Oreochromis niloticus: one gene and its partner. The protein of the gene in region 1 purifies or fractionates together with the protein of each later gene. This does not show direct contact. Links are inferred from orthologs where the notes say so. Each region holds a gene or a part of one and is shown on either strand. Other genes may lie near its edges.

What was found.
Region 2: the proteins of ago1 (region 1) and trinucleotide repeat-containing gene 6A protein purify together in Homo sapiens (affinity purification with mass spectrometry; 10 studies listed by BioGRID and IntAct, with this or other methods). This does not show direct contact. The link is inferred for Oreochromis niloticus from reciprocal best matches to the Homo sapiens genes AGO1 and TNRC6A.

The regions. Positions count from the first base shown.
Region 1 is NC_031976.2:28,008,240-28,016,062, forward strand, and holds the start of ago1 (protein argonaute-1), read left to right. Parts: upstream 1-4,647; 5' UTR 4,648-5,137; coding exon 5,138-5,162; intron 5,163-7,823. Other genes in the region: dehydrodolichyl diphosphate synthase complex subunit DHDDS, read right to left, coding at 63-179, 1,336-1,405, 1,513-1,616.
Region 2 is NC_031969.2:12,149,894-12,158,039, reverse strand, and holds the start of trinucleotide repeat-containing gene 6A protein, read left to right. Parts: upstream 1-5,067; 5' UTR 5,068-5,149; intron 5,150-8,146. Other genes in the region: E3 ubiquitin-protein ligase RBBP6, read left to right, coding at 1-701.

The DNA of each region.
Region 1 (7,823 bases):
ATCATCAATTTGTTTCTGCCCATGTGACATGCATTTCCTGTAGCCGAAAACCCCAAACTCACCTCTGCCAGCTTGTTGAAGCCCTGCATGTGTCCTTCCTGCCGTTCCATGTTTTTCTTACGTGCAAAACGTCGATTACCATCCATGATGAAGGCCACATGTTTAGGCATGGGTCCTGCCTGGAAGACAACAGTCAAAAGAGTCAAAAGAAATGCAGAAGAAGCATTAATGCGATCTAATCTATAAAAGACCAACACTGTCTAATTCCATGTAAATATCTGCTGATATCTTATCACAAAAATGTCATGTACAACTTTTTTCTAAACATTTCAAATTTAAACAAAATAAAACTCATCACCATCAACTAATAGGTTTGCATTTTGAACCCAGGACTTGCATTTTGAACGATAACTAAAAAGTGATTCCCTGTGGCCCCCTCAGGGGTTACAGCTCATGCCCCTAGATATTTAATTAAGAACTATTATTATTTGTAAGCTATTCTTTATGGTATTTTCTGAATCTTAACCTTGTCAAATAAATATATAAATAGTTTGATGTTTTCTAAATGGCTCTGTTTGTCACTCCATTTTCCATCCAGATACTCTGAAATGACATACTTTGATTTTTGTCAAGGCACAAGAGAAATCTAAACACATTTCATTCAACTATACAAAATATAACATTCAAAAATAATTTCCTCTTTTCTGAAATTATATAGAGTGAAAATTATATTTAATCAAAATCTACCAGCCTGCATAATTTCCAGATTTCTTTTAATGCACATAATTGGGGCATCCCCAGAAATGTCATATTTTAACAGGGTTTTATTTTTCCCACAAAGATACTTAGCTTTTTCCATCAGGCCATCAGACTGCTAAACACTTCATAGACACCTCACTTTCACTTACCGGAACTTCAACATTATGCACTCCATACTGTACATAAATGCCATTTCTTTTGCACAATATCCAACTGCTAACCTCTGTATGTTTTGTTTTATTTTATTTACATATATGTATGCACACACACACACACACACACACACACACACACACACGTATATATACATATTTGGTATACATATTCATTAATGTGCATACATTCTTATATTTGTACATATATTTATTCTTATTATTCTCAGATTCCCATTCTTATATTTTGCACACCTCTGTTGCTTGTGAAGCTTGCACAGAAGAATTTCACTCGTATGCGCTGTACCAGTGTACCAGCACATGTGATGTGACAATAAAAGTGATTTGATTTGAGTCGCAGAAAGGCAGAAGACCGACAAAAGCGAGGCTGAAAAAGACAGTCAACTTATAACGTACAGCTTACCTTTAGGATATTGGCAGAAATCTTTTCAAGCAGGGACAACTCGCCTTCTTTTATCCACGACATATCCGTGCTGCCGAAAGACAGAAAGATTTATTTATAAAAAGGTGGGGGGGGGGATTCAAAGAGCACTCCTACCGCACACACTCCCTCTTCCAGAAATAGAAAAAAAAACTTCACCAAGTTTTAGCTTTCACGAAAGGGAAGGCATCTCGTTCCCACATTAACGTCCCATTTTTAGAAGATATTGCATTACATTTGCAGCCACTTATGGATTTCACCATTAACTGCAAGCCCGGCTCACGAGACCTGCAGGGAACTAAACCGCCGCGAGACTGGAAAAGGACTGACGGGCGCCCTCGTTGCCCAGGAAACACTTACAGTGCTTCATTCATTCAAACTACTGAAGCACGAGCTGTTCTACTCACAAACTGCGATCGTTTTATCACATTTCACATACCTTCCAACTCACAGCCTTAACGATGACGACCTCTTCCGTATTGGAGTGAAGTGACGTATGAGCGTGCTGACGACTTCCTGTCAGCAGTTAGTAGATTTTTGAATCATGAGGATGGACGCACGCTACGCTTCAATGAAAGGACCGACTGTGATTTCCTTAACTAAAGGGAAGTGATCTTCTCAACGTTTACTGAAGTAAAACACCACAATATGAACTAAGGGATGACAAGTAAATTCAAATCTATTATTTATGTCTTTTTAAAAAATATTAAATCGAACATAAAAAGCCAAAGACACATCAATGACACAGCAGGGGTTTGACGGGGTTTTTTGTAATATAAATAAAATAACTTGAGAAAAAAGTAAACAAAACAGTACGTGTTTTAAGTAAATAAATAATGATGAAAAATGTCACTACTAATCCTTTCAGCTGTTTTATTCATATCATATTCACAAAACAATCATTAACACATGTTTGTTTACTGTGTTTCCACGTGCTGCAGTGAATATGACATGTCCGCTGCTATGCAAGAGTCATCATTCTTTACAACTTTTTTTTTTTTTTTTAATAATTTTTTAACATTTTTAGCATTGGCTAATTTTTTTGTATTAAGACACCTAACACTGACCTATGAATCATTCAACATTCACTCAAACAATGAACCTATTTTAAATAGTGTATATGGACACTTTCATACTAGCAATGTGTTGTTGCCATTTATTTACTTGAATCATTGAAAACTTGGCATATCTTGGCATGGTGTGCATTGGGTCCTTTAAAAATCTGAGGAAACTGGACAAGTGGAGGACAACAGAAGATATAGGGGGAAAAATCCAATAATAAATAGAAAAAAATCCAACAAACACCTGACACTGGACCTGAGAGATGCACCTTGCCCTTCAGCTGATCCACCTACTGTTCACTGAGACCTCATCAGAAATCGTGTCAGTGGAAGGGTGGCTGTCAAGAAGCCATTCTTAAGGAATGGAAACGGAGAAAAGGCGGAGGTGTGCCATATTATATAAGAACTGGACTGGAAATCGATGGAAACAGATGTTATGGAGCGATGAATCCAAATGTAAAATGTCTGGTTCAAATCACTGCCAGTAGGTCAGGAGGTCAGGAGAGCAATACAACAGTCTGCAGCTATCTGCTGGTGCAGGCTATAGTTTTAGGCTGCATTACAACCAGTGGTGTTGGGGATCTTGTCAAAATTGATGGAATTATGAATGCAGAAAAGTACTCTCTGCTTTTGAGCCACCATGCAGTGTGGGAATATTTTGACAGAGAACAGAACAAAACACAGCCAACATCTTAAGAAGAGCTTCAAATTGTCCTTTAAGAAGCTTGGAGAACTATTCCTGAAGTCTACTAAAGAAATTACAAGAATATTTGCCTAACAGAGTTCAGGCTGTGTTGGAAAATAAAGGTGGTCCTACCAAATTATAACTATCAAGCACATAAACCTGTACAAACTCTTCCATTGCCTCAAGGGCTGGATTTCCATGCATGTTTGCACATTTCAATAAATTGTTGCACCTATTTCACATTTTCATAGAAAAACATACAAATTGAGCGGTGATTCAAGACTTTCATACAATACTACAGATATAATAATACAGCTACATTATTATATTGATCAAGTTAAAAATAATGTTTTAACTCATTAGTGGAAAAAATATATATTTCAAATGTCAGCCTGTTGAATTTCAACTACCCTAAGTGATTTTCATACGTAACCAACTATGTGTGGGACATGAGAAAAAACATAATGGCAATAAATTAAATAAATATCCACTGTCCCATTTAATTCTTTAAATATTCTCATAAATATATCAACCCTAAAGAATGTTCCAATTGCAAAAATATTGTAAGAATTCAATAGTTCAATTGGAGCTCATTCATTCATTCCTTTATTTCTAGCACCTAAAGTTTATTGGATATGTGCACATTGGTTCTTTTTTCAGTTTCCTGTACAAAATAATCAATGTAGGACTGAAAGAATAAACACTGCATGGTAATTTATTAAAAAATAAAGTATTCTTTCTTGTGCTTTTACTTCTTTTTTTTTCTTTTTTTACAAAGTCAAGCCATGAAAGCATTAAAGACTTAGATATAAATATTGGATTAAAGACTTATATTAAAATATGATTATTAATGACTCAAAAAGCAAATATGTAACAGCAATAAAATGAGTAATTACAGATCAATAAATTAATCATTAAGCCCTTTACTAAAGAAAACATAAACCAAGACAAATGTATAGTTGGCAATACTGATATGCGGCAATTTCTAAAAGAGGAGGAAAAAAGACATGTGAAAGGCTTGGTGGTCACATATCAAGGATGTAGGTTCACATCAATTAAGGTTAAATGCAATATTTCAAGATTGCAAACTGCACAACTGCAATAGCTTTTAATGTGAACATGACAAAGCCAAATGGTCCGCTTTCTGCTTTGGTTGATGCATGTGATGGAAAGGTTTTGAAATTGAGAACTCTTTGACTGTCGATCATCTGTTTCATAAAAGAATGTTAGAATAAATGTGTTTCATAATGTTCTTTAACTTCTTTACACCAGCAGATACATAGGTTATTATGCTCTAGGTTGTTATTAGAGATAATTGTACTGATCTTCCCCCTTTGAGATTAAACTGATCAAACCCCTGATGTAGCACCTTTAAAATGTACTCAGAATATGTTGGTTGTATTTTTAGAGAGAAGTAAGACGTGTGATCATTAGTTTTAAACCTCAGCTTTGAACACACAGTATCAGACACGTGAGACATAATTTGGCTGTATTTGCATATCTGCAGTGTAGTTCCGCCTTCGACCTCTGGGGTGTGACAGCAAGTTCGTCAACACTTCCTTCACACTTTCCAATGGCAAAGAAGAAGTTTCAGATTTTTTGAGGGGGGCGAGGGGCTGGCCTTTTTTGTTCCGCTGGAGAGTCCTGCTTGAACGGTGAGCAGGAGCACAACAGAACGGCAAGAAATTACAGCGCCGCGGACCATCAGCTAAATCAGAGCACCGGGAAGGATCCCGCTGCGCCGCCGAGGAAGAGTGGTTCGAAATAGGACGGCATCGCCCTGCAGCTGCGCCGTTACTGGCTCTAGGGTCAACGGGCAGACGAGCAACTGGCAGCTATCGCCGTTAGCCTTAACTCCTCTGCGGGTCTGGGGGGTTCTGGTAGGGGCAGGGGCGGGGGTACACCGAGAAAGGAGAAGACTGCACGCCGAGAGGAGGGGGCTGGAAGTCTGAGACGCTTCCAGCCTGAAGGGGCCGGCGGTTTGGCCACAGCACCCCCCGGACTAGCTAGCTTGTACCCGCGCGGCTAAGTGAATGGGATGGAGCCGGGACCGTCTGGCGCTGGTAGGTTTATTTTTACTTAAGTGGTTTTAAATGCAACCAATCCGGGTGTATACTGCGGGCCAAACTGCAGCTGATAAAACTAGACACCGTAGCCTGGCCTTAACATCGGGGGGGGATGTACGAGGATGCTTGGTGTCAAGCCTCTCTGTTGCATCGAACGTTTAGAGAAGAGAGGGTGTGAGATGGAGAGGAGCTATCTTGCTGTCTGCATGCACTGCACTCCATAGAAAGCGTTATTATTTGTCCAGATTTATAGCTGCAGATGAGCCTTTTTGGAGTCTGACAATATCCTCAGCCATGCGCGGGGGCAGGGAGGTCGTGGGAATCTTGGTGAGGAGGGACGAGGTGAAGCCCGCCTTCAAGCAGCAGCAGCAGCAGCTGGCTGCACCCGCACGCCCCACAGAACAGACCAGCCTCCCGTTCACTGACAGGTTACGTTTGCTTAAGGTTGTCAAGAGAGAGTTTAGCACAGTGTCCTTAAATGCACACATTAAAGACAACCTCGGGCCTACCATCTGCAGCAATAACTGAATTATTTATCTATGTGAAATAAGAAGGAGGAAAAAAAGGCTTATCTCGTCTTCCTGTTCGAGATGACATAATCTACATTTAGAACTGAGGGAAGCATGTAGAGCATTATATTTATGTGTTGCGGTTTGATTCTGTATCTGCAGACTTATCAGTGCCAGTCAGATCAGAGATGGGCTTCATTTGGCAGTTTTCTTGTTTGACACGGAGGTGTGGAGACCTGCAATTAAAGCACTCACTGGACTTGACTTTATGCCCAGGTCTAAAGTCTGTTTACGGTGGAACTTCTTGAGTGCCCGGCATTAATAATGCAACCACGAATGTCTTAAATATGTCTAATGCATGGCTTTTATAAAGACTTGTATTTTTAATTGATGCAAAATGTTTTGACATGAACTCCGTTAACAATCCCTGAATCCTCTTTGGATATCTTCAGGCTTGTGTTTATGCAAAGCAGGCCTGATGGTAAAATCACGTCATCATTCCAGATCCTGAACCTTGAAATTAGTTGAATAGGCCTGTTTTAATTTCTTAGGATGGGGGGGGGCTTCAGAGGCCCCTTATTTCAACGTCTCCTTTTGTGTTTCAAGTGTGATGATTCAGTTTTCTATTTTGAAAGATTTTTCTGGTTGCCACATTTGGCTCACGGTCAACAGCCAAATACTTGGAGACACACAACTGATTTGGCCAACACAAGTGATGCCTAAATGGATCTTCCTTGCAATTTGTGTACTTGGCTTATAATTTAGCTTATAAGCCAGTAGCTTATATTTTTGGAGGCTAATCGTTCTCTAGTTTTTAACTTTTTTTGTGTGTATTTGTATAGCATCACCAACTACACATCTTTTCCATTACCAGCAAATTTAATGTGGAGTTGTTTAAAAAGTGCACATTGAGGTCTTTTATTTGTTTTATTTGTTGTCCTGCAAAGGAAGCCAAAACAAAACACACAACAACAACAGACGTGTTATCCCAGGTACGACTTTAAAATAGTCGTTCCCATGTGACTTGATCTTATTGCTTATTACGTCATTGTAAAGGATTTAAGTAGCGAGTGTCTTCATGTTGTGATGCAGCGCCAAAGCTCCGCTTTAAGTCTTACCGCCCGGGAAAGACTGCTATTGTGTTGGGATATGTGAGAGGGCTGGCTCCGCTTCTCACCATCTGCCTTCACTGGCACGAGGGCGAAGTGTGTGTCATTGTGTGTGCATGCGCAACAATCAAAACACGGTATAGACACTCATGCATTCACACACGTACATGCTTTCTTGCACATAAAGTACGTACGGGCACCACATGTCTGGTGTCTGTGTTTACAGTGCTTCTCAGATGTGTTTTAGGGACTTGTGATTCTACACTTTGATATTCATATGAACACACACACACACACACACACACACACACACACACACACACACACACACACACACACACATGGACGGGTGACAGATTAAAGGGAAAACCTGAATACTTGACCCCCTACACTGAGGATATTACGTGGTACAGTTGTGCTGCTGGCATGGTTTGTGTCCCAAAAAGTTAGAGACATTGAAAATCAATATTGATTTCTTCTAAGATATCATAATCTGTTGATCACTGTCCTGACGACAGTGATCTCTTCCAGGATGACAGTACCTGCCTTCCGTAGAGCACAAGGGCTCAATGGATAGTTTAGTGTAAAACTGATGTGAATCATATCCTGAGATTTTTACTTGCAGTCACCAGATCTCAACCAAATTGAACACCTACGTCAGACCTGTGTCTGAAGTGTTAGACATTACTCCACCACAATCATTAAAGGGAATATATTTTGAATGAAAGATGTCTAATCCCCTCACTAAACTTGTAAAAAAAATCCAGTGATGTATAAAAGTTGTTCTGATGGTCTAAGATACTTCGATTTTTCCTTTAATCTGTCATATTCACGCTAAGAAGAGAAAACGGTGTTTTATGGCCATTACTCTTCCGATTCGTTTAGCATGTTCTGAATAGTGAACATGTGATGGAGTGGCTATTTAAAGCAGAGCTTTTCCAGTTGAGGATGCCGACGCCTTGCCATGATGTGGGAACATGCTCAGTTCAGGACCACAAAGGCCAAGGTCTCTTCAGCATGACCACAGCAGCACCCTGCCT
Region 2 (8,146 bases), on another chromosome or scaffold:
CGATAAGCAGAGAACCCGTCCTGCCTGATGAAGATGCACAGAAAACACACAGAGAGCCATCACTGAATCTCAGATACAAAGATAAAGACTACAGCCACTACCACAGTAACCACCAAGATTCATCAGGGAGTGATCGAAATAAAGACAGAGCTCCAGGGACACACCACTCCCACAGCCGGGGTAAAGGCAGAGACCTGCTCCCCTTTGAATCTCCTGGATACTCTCAAAGAGAATCCCCTCATTTGGGGTTAATGCAGAGCAAAGCTGGAAAAGAAGAGTGGAAACCAAACAAGGCTGAGAAATTAGTCAAAGAAGGCATAGAGGGGAGAGAAAATCGAGGCATGATGGCTGTGCAGGGTGGAGGTGCCTGGTGGGAGCATGAGGCTGATTATAAAGTGGATGGAGAAGAAGGCTGGTTCGGGGGAGGGAGGGATCTGGAGGAAGGGGAGATGCTCAGCAGCCGAAGCAGCAGCGTCGGCTCGTCAGCGAGCCAGGGGAACAGCAAAGACGACAAGAGGACAGAGAAGGAGAGGAAACAAAAAAGGCAGAAAAAAGAGAAAAGGCAGGCGACCCTGGAGCAGCCGCAGGACAGAGAGCTGAAGAAACACACACACAAGAAGTCCAAGAACAGCAGAGAGGGCGCAGAAGAGGAGAGCGGAGGAGAGGGGGCCGACAGGTGGAAACGAAAGGAAAACCACTGATCCCCACTCGGATGTGTCACCTCGACTCTAAAAATAAAGTTAAATTTACTTGAATGATGTTTTTTCTCTGACCAACAGGTGCCTGGATTTTGTTTTTTGTTGTTACTTTTGTTTAATTTTTGCTCCAGGATACGTTTTGTATCACGTTAAGATCTTCATAATTCATTTATAGCATTCGCAATCCTCGTATAAAATTGTGAAGAAACGGCACTTTATACAAAATTCAAAAAAAAGAAATGAATGTGACTGAAATCACAGGGCGAAGCTTAACGCTCTTGAATTATTTTGACTTGAAGGATTTTTGCACTTGTTTACAACTTGCTCAGGACTGCCAGCAGTTACGATTCACATGAATCTGCTATGGATGGAAATCTTACATTTTGAATAGTCAGTCGATAATTTGCCTTGCCTCGCACAGGGGTGCGTTTGGATTACTGAGAAAAAGATTGTAATCATTTAAAATGCACAGCCTTCTGTGAATATTTAGGATTTAACCTCTGTGTTGTATTTTGTTTATTTATTAATTTTTTTTATGTTTAATCTAAAAACTACTGGATAGATGAATGATTTAGTAGAGGCAAGTTTAGTTTTTCCTGTTTTGAGGGAAATAAATAATAATTTAAAAAAATCTAAAATCTTGTGTTTCTGTCTGGATGTCTGCTGATTCTACAAGTGAGGACAAGTGGTAACTGCAGGTTTAATATACAGTACATCTACTTCACTGCACTTTGGATTTGACTTTCTGTTGCATCTTTACCTTAAAGTCTGATTATTTTTGCAGATAAATTCTATTACAATAGATCCAGCTACCACCAATATATAATAAACAGCAGCTATTTATGTACTGTTCTGAAAATCCTGCAGGCCAATTCCTCAATTTTATAATCCTGCTTAAATAGCTGAATAGCACAAGGGTTGTATACTCGATGTAAAATATATTTAAAGTAGATACAGTAAACATTATGTGGGATGTCACTTTTCAGAGTTATGCATTGACATCCTGATTTGGCTGAACCCTGAATGCACTTCCTGAAACAACCCAAAGGAATTTTGTCTCTTTCAGGGATTGAGATTTCAATTTGAGTTTTTGTGTTTTATTCAGTCTAATTTTATTCAGAATGAATTTTCATAATTCAGTTTACTCTTGATCATTTGAATTTTTTTTTAGTTTTATTAGTTTCAGTGTTTGCTTTAGTTTTTGTTTTGTTTTTTAGAATAATATTACATGAAGAGCATATGTGAGAGACAAGATTTGGGAAAATGAGCACAATCGTTAGAATAAAAACTTTTTGAAAATAGTTTAGTCTTGTAACAATCCAAAATCTCAGCACATCCATCAAAGCCTCATCATGCAGGTTGTAATAACGTTTACCAAACAAATACTAAAACTAACATTTCCTCTGTATTTTTTTTTTATTTCAGATTGTTTTCCAAGTTAATAAAACAATTTCAGTTAGTTTTAATATTTTTGAAAAGTCTAGTTTCTATTTTTATTTTAGTTATCTAAAGAGTTTTTTTTTCGTTTCAGACTTTAGTTTATATTCACTAAACTACAATAGTCTTGGTGTAAAACACTACACTATCAAGCTAGAGCAAAATAAATAAATGAAGCTATGAAAAAAATACAGAGTACAAAGTACAATATTTGCGTCTAAAACATAGTGGAGCAGAAGGACAAAATAGAAGATCATGATCCTGAAAAATAATGCTTAATGTTTTTACAGACCTATACGGTGATGGTGCTGTGCAATATTTAACGTTTTGGCATTGATCGTATACCAATTAAATATAAGGCCGATATTGCTGATGCCAATATTGTTATTGTTTCTTTTAACCCATAAAGGCAGCTTATGAAGGGAAGAGCAGTGTGTCATGATTTATGAGATGATGAATAATCATCACTTCTGAACACATTTTAATGACCATGAAATGATTATGATTTATACTTTCCACAAGAATAAATAAGACAATACTATTAATAATACAACAAAACACACTTTTCAGCTTTTCGTGTATTTTGAAAATAGATTTGTCGGAGACCTGGAGTGTAATTGTGCACTTTGGGTCAATTTCTGTTGTTTAAATGTGCATAGGCTATAAAAAAAAATAAAACAGACATGCCAATCAACACAATTCAGTACATACTGCGCTTCTGTATCTATATTTGAATTGATCTACCAACCTTTATATTTAAGTGGTGTTTATCAGACAAGACTTAGGCTAATTTAAATATTTGTATAGCGTATCTTATTTTAATTTGTTTATTTGTTTAACTATCTGCATTGTATCCCCAGTTCTCTAATATGCTCTGTCCTAACTAGTTAACGTTTCCACCCTGCGGCCTTGGCTGCTAACACAACAGGCTAAGCTGTTACTATCACTGTGAGCACGCTAGCATGCTAAAATAGCCAAACTGATATTACTCGTCCTTACTTTAAAATATTCTGAATAAAGTTTTCTCTTCTATCACAGTCAAACGTGTCTATTTAATATATTATTATTATTATTCCTTTTATTACTTCTGGCGGGCTGAGTATGTTGAGTATCCATTATTTCAGCCGCTAAAGGCGGTCAGGTGACTAAAGGCTGGAGCACGGGGCAGGTAGGCTGATTTATGGTTTAAATCCTCCGCTTAAACAGTCCCTGTGAATTAACTGAGTGAATCTGTCAAAGTAAAGAATCTGTACAAAGCTTTGGTGGTCTGTTATTTTTGCTTGGAGTTTGTTTAGCTGTTTAAAAGTGAGTCACATTGGAGTCTTAAGAACAGCTGTATGTAGGCAGCCATATTTCTCTTTAATTATCTGCCAGTACAGGAGACTCTGTTTTCTTCCTTTTTTAGTTAAGAGTTTGAGGGGAAGTTGGTCTGTCCTTGTTTTGTCATATCAGTCAGTGTAGCACTACCACTGTCAGATCCAGGGCTTAGACTGTTGCAAAACTAGAAACTAGTGGAGCATGGTGGCTCTTTTCAATGCAAATTAAATTTAAAGGCTCATATTTCTGCAACTCCTTAAGTTGTAGGAGTACTAAGGTGACTTGTTTGTTTTCTCTAGCTCAGGGGTGGAAAACATTGTTTTAGTTCTTGGGCCACATACAACCTATTTTGTACAAGTAATAATGTTTAAAGGGGCTCGTAACAACTTCTGCAAAATAAAAAAACCCAATCCTGTCTCCTATTACCTTAAAAATTTGCCAGACAAATAAAATCATTATTTCTTGTTCAGTGATCGAGTAAGAAAACAGGTGATGGATATATTTCAAGAGCACTTTCAAGTACATTTTGAATCAACTTTTTTTTTTAAATCTAAATTAATTGACCATCAAACCACATTTGAAAGGTACAAACATTTCACATGTAGATCTTTTGTAACTAAACATCTGGTATTTCATGTCTTTATGATTCAAACAACTAGTCTCAGTTAGAAATGCTCGGACATTTCCCCTCCTGTAGAAATGTTTCACACATTACAATGGGTCACATGGGTCGGGTTAGACAAATTGGTGGGCATGTTATGGCTCCCAGGCTGCATATTTGACACCCCTGAGCTGCAGGTTGGCCAATGTGCATTTAGGTCAGAAAGATTTGTGCTAATTGCTGACGGTTGTGTGGAGCATTATCTGCAGCACTTATGCAGAAAATGAAAAGTTATGAGCAAGTTATTAAAACGCAGGGAAAAAATAATTGCCCTGCTGGTCTCCGTCCAGGACGGTCTTCTCAAGAGCGACTCCTCCTGGTTAAGTAAAGCTTTTGAGTAACATGTTTTCCAGATGTCTTTCTCTTTGGTGTGCAACCTGGCACCTCCGTCCGAATGTTCTAGTGCTTGTAACGTTATCTGAAAATCAAATAGTTGCTCTGCACTTGAGCAGTACTGTGCAAAATTCTTGAGCCACCTCTTATTTCCTTATATTTAGTTTCTAAGGAGCTAGACTTTCTTATTTTTTAAGTGCAGTCTTGAGCAATAGTTCTCCAGCTTTCTGAAAGTTTTGCTTTGGACAATGGCTCATTTTTCACTCATTTATTTAACATAAATTCCTGAAGATTACTTAAAAAAATTAGAAGAAGGTTGACTAAGAGAGCTCAGGCTGTGTTGAAGAATAAAGGTGGTCGTACCAAACTCTGCTTTTTTTTTTCTTATATACTATATTTAAATGTGATTTTTGCATGTTTCAATAAATCACTAAACCTACTGTTCATTTGAAGGGTGACTCAGGACTTCAGTTCTGAAAACATTTATCAAGGCTGTCACGATGAATGATCATTTGCTATTAAACCTGAAATGTGGACATTATCTCTGGAATAGGACACTGTAACACCACCTCTGAGCTCTTTGTCTTTGCACCGTTGCATGTTGCCGTCTCTCCGCTCCAGTTCAAAGCAGCCAACATCTCAGCCAGCTGACCAGAGACTCGCTTCTCCTCCACTCATCTGTCTACTTTGCCTACATTACCAGGTAGAGATGCTCACACTGAACACAATAAATACATTTTTTCCCCCAACTTTACTTCCTGCAACCCTTAAAAAAGCACTTGAATCAAAGCAGGAGCCAAACACAGTTTCACGGAGAACAAAGACGTGCTAACGAAGTCGCTGTTTGGACAGGTTGGTGGTTGTCCGCCATGTTGGGTTTTCTTGTTAGAACAAATATGAAAGACATGCTCAATATGCCTGATGTCTATGCTGGCGTGGGCTGTTGTGCTCACCGTATGTGCGTGTGTGTGTGTGTGTGTTGATGGTTGAAGTCTATCCAAGCATTTCTTGCTTCATTAGCTCACTACAAGGAAAGACATGGCAGAGATCCAGGCTCTCTGTCTTTCTTTCCATCTCTTCTGTTTTACCGCTGTGAGAGTAATCACCCAGTGTTGTGCCAAGGCATGCTGGGATTGAACAGTGGAGATGGTGTGGGTGTGGGTAGGGGGTGCCCGACTTGGCTTGAGTCCAAGCCTCTGATGGAGGGATGCAAGGACACCCGAGGACAGTCGATAATCTGAAATACTTTCATAACAGAAGACGTCCTCTTCTGTTGGCTTGTTGTGTGCTGCTGCATGACCTCCAAGATGGCTGCTGTCATGTGTGCAACATCTGTGTTTGCATTTATTAACCCTCAAACTTCAGTGGATCTTTTTAACCGCTAAATATAAAGATGCAAAGATGGGGGTGTAAGACTGCATCTGTGCATGAAGAAAGCAGACGCACTGACATATGCACAGAGAGACACATCAGACAGTGAGAAAGACAAAAACAGAGCAGCATGGTGAGAGAGACAAAAAGACAGACGCACAAGTATTCACACAGATGCAGCAAAAAAGTGGGTGGCAGACTAAGATGTAAGGAAAAAAGGAAAGTGACCGGCGCATAAAGGCTCATAAAAAATGAGACATGAGACAGACAGAGAGGTGCTGATGCCAGGCAGACACACAGACAACGCTCCAGGCAGGCAGAAGGACAGCCAGACAGACAGACAGGTGGACCCTGTAGCAATCAAGAGCAACATCCTGCTCCTCCTCTCCCAGCGTGGCGTGGATCAGAGCCGAGGTACGCGCCTTTTTTTTTTTTCAAATTTATTTCTCAGCAGTCTTGAGTTCTCCGTCGTCCCGCCGTCTGCTGCGCTTCTTTTCTTTTTGTTTTGGCTGTTTTTCTTTGTTTCTTTCTGTCTTTCGTCTGCGCTTCCTGCCCTCCTTTGTGCCCGTGAGGAGTGCCGACGTCTCAGGGCGCCGTGCCAGCACTGCCGGATGAAGACCAGGCTGTGCCTACCCGTGTGTGTGTGTGTTGGTGTATGCAGATTGGCTTGTTTTGGTTCAGCGGCAGCTGTAAACACTTGTTTGTGGCGTTACACGCATGTGCCTATTGAGCAGAGGACCCGCTGCCAGCCTACACTTTCACGTAATTAAGCCCGAGTCTTTACTAATCAACAGAGCAGAGAAATGCAAATAAATAGTTTTTAGAAACAAAGCGAAGCAAAGATGAAGCAAAAAAGTGAAACATTCACTCTTTGCAGTCAGCGTGAAAGGAAAGCAGTGATGTTATAATTCTCGTAATACTTCATTACGTCTGCAGTGTGAGGATTTTCCTGGTATTTGCTGTTTTAAATGAATTGCCAAGCAAAATGTTCAGGGTCTTTGTTGAGTTTTATTTTAGTTTTAATATTGTTTTAAGGCTCTGAATGTATCCCTGCTATATTGTGCTCATTTGCAACTCCATAACTTCCATCTTAGATCCTTTACATGTGGGAAACCAAGCTGTTATAGCCACCCTACCTTTAAAACAGACTTTGGATAAGTCTTCATCTTTGCAGAGTGATTTCGCAGAATCCAAAAAACTAACAGTGTGTAGACCCACAGCGATGACACTGTGCAGGAAGAATGCTTATTGGTTGAAGTGTCAGCTTAAGCAGGAAAGGGAACGTCAGCGGAGTTCAGCAGAAAGAGGAAGACGCACCAAAAAATAATCAAAGATGTAAAAAAATTGTTTGTTTACGCATCACTGCAACTTTGAATGTATAACTTCTGTGTTCTCTGCAGCAGAGGCTGAACCAAGGGGTCAACAACAGCACAAACACGAGCAGAAGCAGCTTACAACATCATAAGAAACATAAAACACCTCCTTTCAGTACAACTTGTGGCCCGATAACATAACATTTATTTAACATAATATTTGAATTAAACATCATTACTGCAGCACTCAGACAATTAGTCAAACATACAGACAAAACTGACTCCTTTGCTTCATGCTGTGTGCCTTTGTGGATCATATTATAGATATAACCTCCAAGTAGAAAAGACCTGTGGAAACAGGGATTCCTCATTATTTGAAACACGTGCCATGTTTAATTTGAACATAGTCACTGAACTCGTCTATATGTGACTGAAAATGAGGTAAATGGTCAGTTTTAACTTTAAAAAAAGTGACTTTCATTTAATAAATACATGGCATGTATCTGAAATGGTACACAGATTATAAATATTTTGTGCACAGTAGTAAAACAACAAGGACATCATGTTGACCTACAGATGGGGTTTTTTAAGGCGTGAGGAAGCAAGTTTCCTATCTTTCAAGGTTGGATGGGGCAAACACGGAGTAAGAGTGTGGGATATTCCTGATACAGGCAAGCTGCTCATACAAAGAAGTGTTTTTTTACCTCTCAGCTGTAAATGGGTGATGGGCTATTGTTGTCACCCTGTAGCAGCTTCGAATTGAAACCTTAGGTGTGTCTACTAGAAGGCTGAGGCGTACCACTGGTGGCTACAAGTAATTTCTTATATTTACAGTCATTCAACTTTGTTAGGTTAATTGGTTAATTGATGACTAAATTGTCTGTAGGTGTGAATGCGAGCCTTCTCTCTGTATTAGCCCTGCAATAGACTGGGAGCCTGCCAAGGGTGTACCCTGCCTTTCGCCCTGTGGCCCCTCCCCAAACACCCAATGCATAAACGTATAGGTTTTATAAACT